2 linked regions of the Xenopus tropicalis genome follow. Each later gene encodes a partner of the first gene's protein in a complex. Links are inferred from orthologs where the notes say so. Each region holds a gene or a part of one and is shown in the gene's direction. Other genes may lie near its edges.

Evidence for each region.
Region 2: the proteins of ap1g1 (region 1) and ap1s1 are in contact, whole or in part, in a crystal structure (PDB 1W63), measured with the Mus musculus proteins. The link is inferred for Xenopus tropicalis from reciprocal best matches to the Homo sapiens genes AP1G1 and AP1S1. Residues at the interface, in NP_001288140.1 of Mus musculus: Leu7, Arg8, Ile11, Arg12, Arg15, Leu54, Tyr55, His57, Met58, Gly60, Tyr61, Lys78, Phe79, Thr80, Arg83, Ile84, Leu87, Met90, Leu91, Asp94, Glu95, Thr115, Phe117, Leu123, Cys124, Gly127, Cys128, Tyr152, Lys155, Lys156; in NP_031483.1 of Mus musculus: Met1, Leu14, Arg15, Leu16, Gln17, Lys18, Trp19, Leu21, Ala22, Thr23, Asp25, Arg28, Lys29, Arg42, Lys45, Met46, Cys47, Ser48, Phe49, Glu51, Lys56, Gln74, Asp75, Asn76, Glu77, Leu78, Ile79, Leu81, Glu82, Leu83.

The regions. Positions count from the first base shown.
Region 1 is NC_030680.2:59,329,876-59,334,251, forward strand, and holds the start of ap1g1 (AP-1 complex subunit gamma-1), read left to right. Parts: upstream 1-1,340; 5' UTR 1,341-1,676; coding exon 1,677-1,691; intron 1,692-4,376. UniProt on the Homo sapiens protein: Subunit of clathrin-associated adaptor protein complex 1 that plays a role in protein sorting in the late-Golgi/trans-Golgi network (TGN) and/or endosomes.
Region 2 is NC_030679.2:143,417,496-143,421,874, forward strand, and holds the start of ap1s1 (AP-1 complex subunit sigma-1A), read left to right. Parts: upstream 1-1,541; 5' UTR 1,542-1,582; intron 1,583-4,379. UniProt on the Homo sapiens protein: Subunit of clathrin-associated adaptor protein complex 1 that plays a role in protein sorting in the late-Golgi/trans-Golgi network (TGN) and/or endosomes.

The DNA.
Region 1 (4,376 bases):
GTTTGCTAAAGATCATGTGGACAAACTAGAAAAATACTGGAAGAATGTTTTGGTGATGGATGAAGATAAAAAAGAAATTGTTGGCATTTTACATTTGGAGAAAAAAACACTGCATTCCAGCATTAGAAGCTTATTCCATCAGTGAAACATGATGGTGGGGGTGTTCTGGTTTGAACCTGTTTTACTGTATCTGGGCCTGGACAGCTTGCCATCATTGATGGAACACTGAATTCTGAACTATTGCAGAGAGTGTTAAAGGAAAATGTCAAGACATCTGTCTGTGAACTGATCTCAGAAGACAGTGGGTCATGCAGCAAGACAATGATCCTAAATAGTCGTTCTACCAAAGAATGGTTAAAGGAGAATAAAGTAAATATTCTGGAAAAGCAATGCCAAAGTCCTGACTTTAATCCAATTGTTATGTGAGGGAACCCACCAACATCCAAGAGCTGAAGCTGTTCTGTATGGAGGAAGGGGCTAAAATTCCATGGCTAAAAGTCAACAGGACTCATCAACAGTTACCGCAAACATTTAGTTGCAGTTATTGCTGCACCAGAGGGTCACACCAAACACTGAGAGCATGATTCGCTTGCTTTTGCCACTCGCAGATATGTTATTAGATCATTTTTTTCAATAAATACATGACCAAATATAATACTTTTTGCTTCATTTCTACTTTCAGTTCTACTTTTAGGACTTGATTGAAAAGGTGATGATGTTTTAGGTCACATTTATATAAAAATATAGAACATTTTAAAGGATTCACAAACTTTCAAGCATACTGCAGGGACTAAATTGCACCAGGGAAGTTATCTACAGCATTAAAATATGTATTTTCTTTCATATCTGTATTGGTAGTAGACTAGTAGGCTATTGAAAAACCAAAGTTTATTCATTTTAGTGCAGATATTATTAAATAAGCCCTACTAGTTGAAATGCAAAATGTTGGACCTCTAATGTTGTAAAAAAAAAAATAATTACATCCTTTCTATGTTTTTAGCTTTATTTGCAATCAAGTTTACTGGCCAGGTCTCCAACCCTTGGGAAGGACTTCCAATATATATTAGGAACGGAAATACGATAATACTGCCGCCAGGGTTCCCCGTCTGCCCACATATGCAACTAGCAGAGCGACTGGCTGGCTCCAGTTCCATGTGAGAATTAGGCAGCGCTACAGGAACGGCTTTGGCTAATGCTCCCTAACTAGAAAGGTCAGTATAACAGGCTGTGGCACAATCACAGGAAGTGAAGCTCAATGACAAGCTCAGAACTCTGGTTGACATAATCCCCGCCCATAGTTACCTGGGTCAGGTGGCACGTGACAATAGGGGCACCGCCCTCTCTTCCTTCCGGGTCTGGTAGTGACGGGGCACAGAGTTGACGTCATCACTGGCTGCCCTGTCAACTTGCCAGTGTCCCTCCGCGTAGAGCAAAGAGTTCCGGCCCTGGGTGGCTTCTTGAGTTCCGAAGCCGATCGGTATACAGGCTGTCGTTTGGAACACGTTTGGCGTTTTTATAAAGATCCGGAGTGTTGACCGCTGGTCTTGAAGCCGGTGACTCTACGGGATCCTTCCGCACAGCCGCGGTGCTGCGGCCCAGCAGCCGCCATTTTGGTTTGTCCCGGAGCCGTGGAGAGAGCAGCAGTACCGGGCGGTGAGAGGAAAGACCCTTGGCTAATGACAGTGATTAAGGTGGAGGCTAGTGACAGGTTGGAGGGGACTGACAGCAATAGTGTGACTAGAATCTCTCTGAGGGCATCAGTGACACTTAATTTGTGAATAGTGGGGCGTGAGGAAGAAAGTGGAAGATCACTGACCAGAGGCTGTATGCAATGGTGAAGGGACACTGACAGAACGAAAGCCTGATAACGCGTGTGTTGTCTGTGTCAGTAAATATTAATGTAGCTTCAGTGATCTGGTGGAAGGGTGTCCGTGAAAGACTTTGGCATTAGACTTGTTGCACAAGTGACTATATGTATGGCAGGGGCATTTAGGGATTTTCTGAGGTGCATCTGGATAGCCTTCTTGTGAGATAGGGTTGTGACAGCTAAAAGTCTGTGTGGGTTAATTCATATGTGTTGTGATTTCTGTCCACTATAAGGGACACTTGAGGTTTCATTTGCTGTCACTCTGTCTGCTTATATATAAGTTCTTATGTAGTCTGTGTGTATTGCGTCTGTTGGTATACATGGAATAACTGGAAATGTATTGGCCCCACAGCCCTTGGGGAAGGTGACATTTTTCATAGGCTTACATTGATATTGTACACCAGCTGGGGCAATGTTAGCTTTGTGTGTGAATTTTGAGGCCAGTGCACACAACAAATTGTGGATTACACAGTTAAAATGTGCGCCCAAAAGAATTATTTTAAGCACATAGCCAAGAACGAATTAGAGGGAACATTCATTGGCGGCCATTACACTCATGTTCCACCCAATAATTGAAGGGTCTGTTTACCATATCTTTATGCCCATGTATGTCAAGTTTTTCTGTACACCTCATTCTTTATGCCTATATCTTAGTACTCCCCTCATCTTTTATATACGTGTGTGTGTGTGTGTGTGCAATGTCAGGAGCCTGTAATCCACTATGGAAAAGTATAAAAGCATACAGGATCTATATAGTGTTGACACATAATACAGGTATGAGATCCATTATCAGGAAACCCAAACAGCTCCAGATTATATGAAGGCCATCAACCCTATTTTAATGAAACCATTCATTTTTAAAAAGGATTTCATTTTTCTCTGTAATAATAAAACAGTACCATATACAGATACCAAGACATAATAATCCTTATTGAAGGTAAAAAAAAAAAGTTTTTTCTACTAAAAAAAAATTATTTTTTAGTAGACAAAGTATAATGATCCAAATTACAGAAAGATTCCTTATCCAGAAAACCCCCAGGTCCCAAGCATTCTGGATAATGGGCCCCATACCTGTATTACACACCGTATCTCATTCATTTATTATAGGCTTTAAATATGACAGTATGCATGCTGTACATGTGCTTTGTTATTTCCAAGTAACATATTTTGCCGGACTACCTAACCTTTAGAGGAACACGGTACCTAAGTAATTACTGTGTAAGATAATTTTGTAACTTTCATAGATAATTACATTTTGAATACAGTAGCAACACGTAGGTTAGTTGAAATACATGTTGTGTATTACATTATGATGTCTTGTAGAATGTTGGTTAACAAAGAGGACAAAATTACATTCCCTTTCTAGTAACATGATTTTCTCCTAGGAAACCGCTGATACAAATTAAAATATCTTCAAAGTGTCAACACTTTTTTTTTTTAATTTAAATAATCACTTTGCTGACTCAATAAAATTGGTTTCCTAGTAAAAGCAGCTGATTTATACTGCCTGCTAGTTATAGGTGCATGTATTTTTTGTACAGTTGCCTGCTGCTTCCAGAAATGTGCATTAGAGACCTCCATAGTGCATGCTTCACAGTTTTATTTACATATACATTTTAGAAGTCATTTTCATTGTTTATGCGCAAGCGCCTTTTGTTGTTCTCCTTTTTAGTTTTGTTCTCCTTTTGCCCTTACTGAGCAAGTGCAAGTTAGTCCTGGCATGTACATTCAACTATAATTTAGAGCACTGCTACTGACCTGCACATTCCAAATAAAGTGGAATATTTGCTTTTTAAAAACTGAATAACAATACCCCAGAACATTGCAGATCTCTATTATAAAAAAAAAAATTTAAGTTTTCCTGTAAATAAAGCTTTTTTTAATACATTTATTTTTTTCCGTGTATCATCCCAGGATACAGTATTGTAAGTTTAAGTACCAGAGTTCCTCCTTTTGGACCATATGAGGCACTGAGTTTGCTCACAAACCAAATACATTCTAGGCTGCATTAGCTAATAAATGAGGGCTCAAATTAAATTATAGAAATATCTATTGATAAATAGCAGGTTTATGACAGTAGCATAAAGGTCCAGTAAGAGAGGACTATTTTGCTGGTTACATTTCCTGAGCAGTAAGGTTGATATGGAGGCTGCATGACATATGCGAAGAGCCCAGACTTGGTTATAAGAGAAAAATAAAATCTTGGTTTTACGCACCACAAACAAGTTTTATTTGTAGATCGAACATATATGTATAGCATTGACAAAGCTGTGTCACAGTAAGAGACAAAATGTTTTTAACTTTTGTTTTTAAGGTAGCATATTGTTATTGATGCTAATAATAGTATCTTAATAGATGCTGACATTGGAAGCATGTTGACTGCAGTAATAACAGTTGTTGTTATAAGTGGATCAAGTGGGAAAGATGGGGAGTGATTACTCACAGTGTCAGCGCTACTGTGAAGAAGTGACAAGGTTTTTGTTAGAGAGAAATTCTTTCAGCTGGCAGT
Region 2 (4,379 bases), on another chromosome or scaffold:
AATTGGGGGTACTGTGTATGGGGGGCACTGTGTATTGGGGAAATTGGAGGTACTGTGTATGGGTGGCACTGTGTATTGGGGCAATATGGGGTACTGTGTATGGGGGGCACTGTGTATTGGGGCAATTGGGGGTACTGTGTATGGGTGGCACTGTGTATTGGGGCAATTGGGGGTACTGTGTATGGGGGGCACTGTGTATTGGGGCAATTGGGGGTACTGTGTATGGGGGCACTGTGTATTGGGGAAATTGGAGGTACTGTGTATGGGGGCACTGTGTATTGGGGCAATTGGGGGTACTGTGTATGGGGGCACTGTGTATTGGGGAAATTGGAGGTACTGTGTATGGGGGGCACTGTGTATTGGGGCAATTGGGGGTACTGTGTATGGGGGGCACTGTGTATTGGGGCAATTGGGGGTACTGTGTATGGGGGGCACTGTGTATTGGGGAAATTGGAGGTACTGTGTATGGGGGGCACTGTGTATTGGGGAAATTGGGGGTACTGTGTATGGGGGGCACTGTGTATTGGGGAAATTGGAGGTACTGTGTAAGGGGGCAATCGGGGCACTGTGTATTGAGGAAATTGGGGGTACTGTGTATGGGGGCAGTGTATTGAGGAAATTGGGGGTACTGTGTATGGGGGCACTGTGTAAGGGGGCAATCGGGGGTACTGTGTATGGGGGGCCACTGTGTATGGGGGAAATGTCTATAGGGGTAATTGAGGGCCCCTGATACTTTTAATGTCTGTGTGTCCTTTGTACTGATGGGAGGGGCCCCGTGATTGCTAATGGCGGCCAAGAGCAAGTGATTATTAAAAATTAAATAAGGAGCAAAATGACAGCAGTGAATGTATTTCCCCTCAGCATTATCTCTGACTTCCCAGCCAGGCACTTCCTGTGAGATGCCCCAAGCTCCTCCCTCTGCCTGACAGCTCAGGGACATACACGTAGCGCAGGTAAGAGCCCGCCCAAACCTGCCCCGGGGTCACCTGATGTCTGCGCCCGTTACCATGGATACCGGGAGGGAAAGCTGGCATTGCCTCAACCGCCTCAGTGTGCATGTGCGGCAGGTGTACTTCCCTCCGCCCTTATGGGTGAGGCCGGGGGAGGAGGAGGAAGCGGCTCCGGACACTCAGCTACGAGAGGCCGGGGACGGCGGCCTGGGGGGCAGGCCGCAGCATAAGGAGTCACCGCGTACAGAACAGGCAGCAAGATGGTGAGAAATGGGGGATATGGAGGGGGAGCAGGCAGTGCGTTTCACAGGAGGCGGCTCTGCTAAATGCATTGGTATAATGATAACCAGGCGCCTCCATTCTCAGGTACCAGTGGGCGGGATTTATATCAATTAAGGAGGCGGAGCCTCCTGCAGTTCTCTGACAAACCGCCTGGGCATACCTACATACACTACACAAGCCGGCCAAGGTACAAGGCATTTTATAGACGCACCGAGCCCCGCCCTCAGGTTTCTACGTGAAGCGTCACAGCCCTTACGTACAGGCATGACGCCGCAAATCTCGCGTGAGGAAACGGGATTTGCTGGGAGACAGGAGGCCGGGAGCTTGCGGGGAACAGCGTTGCGGGAGGTGTAAGTAGCCAGTCGGTACCGTGTCAGGGCAAGCGGGAGTGTTGGGCGGGGCTGCGCTTAGTTACAGTAGCCGGGCTCGGTGCTGTGGGCTTGGGAAGGGAGCCGGGGTGCCGGCATGTTCTGTCCCCTGCTGCTTCCCGTAGTGCTGCGCGTTTGCCAGGGAAGTTTTAGTCTGTTTAAAGCTGCATGAGAATTGGAAGGGTGGGGGGCGAGGTTAAGGCTGCTCAGCCAATCCTGGTGCAGCTCCTGTGTGGGACCCCCTTGGAAAAAGCATAGAACTGATTTATCCAGCCTAACCACACCCCCTTGCCCTGACTCCTCCCCCAGCCCACTCACTTATAAATCCCTGCTCTCTAGTCAAGTTTTTCCCTACCCGCTCCTAAACATTACCCCCGATAGTGATGTGTGGGCTGGCTCCATACCTTGCTAATTCCCTGCCCTCTGTGCCCAGTCCCGCTGGGAAGTCACTACAGAAATGGATTCAGAATGTTGCATTAACCCCAGAGATGATATATATATGGGATCAACTGCAGAACTGCCCCACATCCCAGTAGAAAGTAACAGTACAGTCACATACCCTATAGAGCAGGGAGCAGGGGGTAGAACTGCCCCACATCCCAGTAGAAAGTAACAGTACAATCACATACCCTATAGAGCAGGGAGCAGGGGGTAGAACTGCCCCACATCCCAGTAGAAAGTAACAGTACAATCACATACCCTATAGAGCAGGGGGCAGGGGGTAGAACTGCCCCACATCCCAGTAGAAAGTAACAGTACAATCACATACCCTATAGAGCAGGGGGCAGGGGGTAGAACTGCCCCACATCCCAGTAGAAAGTAACGGTACAATCACATACCCTATAGAGCAGGGGGTAGAACTGCCCCACATCCCAGTAGAAAGTAACAGTACAATCACATACCCTATAGAGCAGGGTGTAGAACTGCCCCACATCCCAGTAGAAAGTAACAGTACAATCACATACCCTATAGAGTATGGAGCAGGGGGTTGAACTGCCCCACATCCCAGTAGAAAGTAACAGTACAATCACATACCCCATAGAGCAGGGGGTAGAACTGCCCCACATCCCAGTAGAAAGTAACAGTACAATCACATACCCTATAGAGCAGGGGGTAGAACTGCCCCACATCCCAGTAGAAAGTAACAGTACAATCACATACCCTATAGAGCAGGGGGTAGAACTGCCCCACATCCCAGTAGAAAGTAACAGTACAATCACATACCCTATAGAGCAGGGGGTAGAACTGCCCCACATCCCAGTAGAAAGTAACAGTACAATCACATACCCTATAGAGCAGGGAGCAGGGGGTTGAACTGCCCCACATCCCAGTAGAAAGTAACAGTACAATCACATACCCTATAGAGCAGGGGGTTGAACTGCCCCACATCCCAGTAGAAAGTAACAGTACAATCACATACCCTATAGAGCAGGGGGTAGAACTGCCCCACATCCCAGTAGAAAGTAACAGTACAATCACATACCCTATAGAGCAGGGGGTAGAACTGCCCCACATCCCAGTAGAAAGTAACAGTACAATCACATACCCTATAGAGCAGGGGTAGAACTGCCCCACATCCCAGTAGAAAGTAACAGTACAATCACATACCCTATAGAGCAGGGGGTAGAACTGCCCCACATCCCAGTAGAAAGTAACGGTACAATCACATACCCTATAGAGCAGGGAGCAGGGGGTTGAACTGCCCCACATCCCAGTAGAAAGTAACAGTACAATCACATACCCTATAGAGCAGGGGGTAGAACTGCCCACATCCCAGTAGAAAGTAACAGTACAATCACATACCCTATAGAGCAGGGGGTAGAACTGCCCCACATCCCAGTAGAAAGTAACAGTACAATCACATACCCTATAGAGCAGGGGGTAGAACTGCCCCACATCCCAGTAGAAAGTAACAGTACAATCACATACCCTATAGAGCAGGGGGCAGGGTGTAGGGCAGACAGGTTGAGCCTGAATAGAATAGAAATGGGAGCCTCTGTCTATACTGTCCAATTGCATGCTGGGTATTGTAGTTTTATATTAATCCTAGCTGTAGGCTAATTGTTAGATACAAACTACATTACCCAGCATCCAGTGGAACAGGCACACTAGGGTGGAAAAACTTTGGCTAGTTTCCAAACTACAAACTTGCCAAAGGCTCCAAAAAATAGCCCAAAACTGTACCTTGGCGGGTTTGTACCTTATATAGCCAGGGCTTTAAATTAGTAGCCCAATTTGGAGGGAAAACCACCAACCTGGCAACCATGAGGTGCGTGGCCACCGTGCTCCGCCCCTTTTCTAACATCATGATGGGTGGGTGCAGGTATATAAACACAGGGAAGAAGCCGGTTCAGGTTGGGAGCGGTCGGATCGACCCACACATCACCGCTACCCTCTATGTAGGGGAAAGAACCTGCAGGCACCCAAGCTTCCCGCCCTCCCTTCCCAAGTCTGCAGCTCACTGACAGCAGGGGGTACATTATCCCTTATAATACATGAGTGATACTCAGAGTTCCCTGTATAACTCAGCCTGCAGCCTTGTGCCTTTATATGGGCACAGAACCCCTCAGTGACTGCTAATATCCTTATCATTTACAGTAGGGGGTACATTATCCCTTATAATACATGAGTGATACTCAGAGTTCCCTGTATAACTCAGCCTGCAGCCTTGTGCCTTTATATGGGCACAGAACCCCTCAGTGACTGCTAATATCCTTATCATTTACAGTAGGGGGTACATTATCCCTTATAATACATGAGTGATACTCAGAGTTCCCTG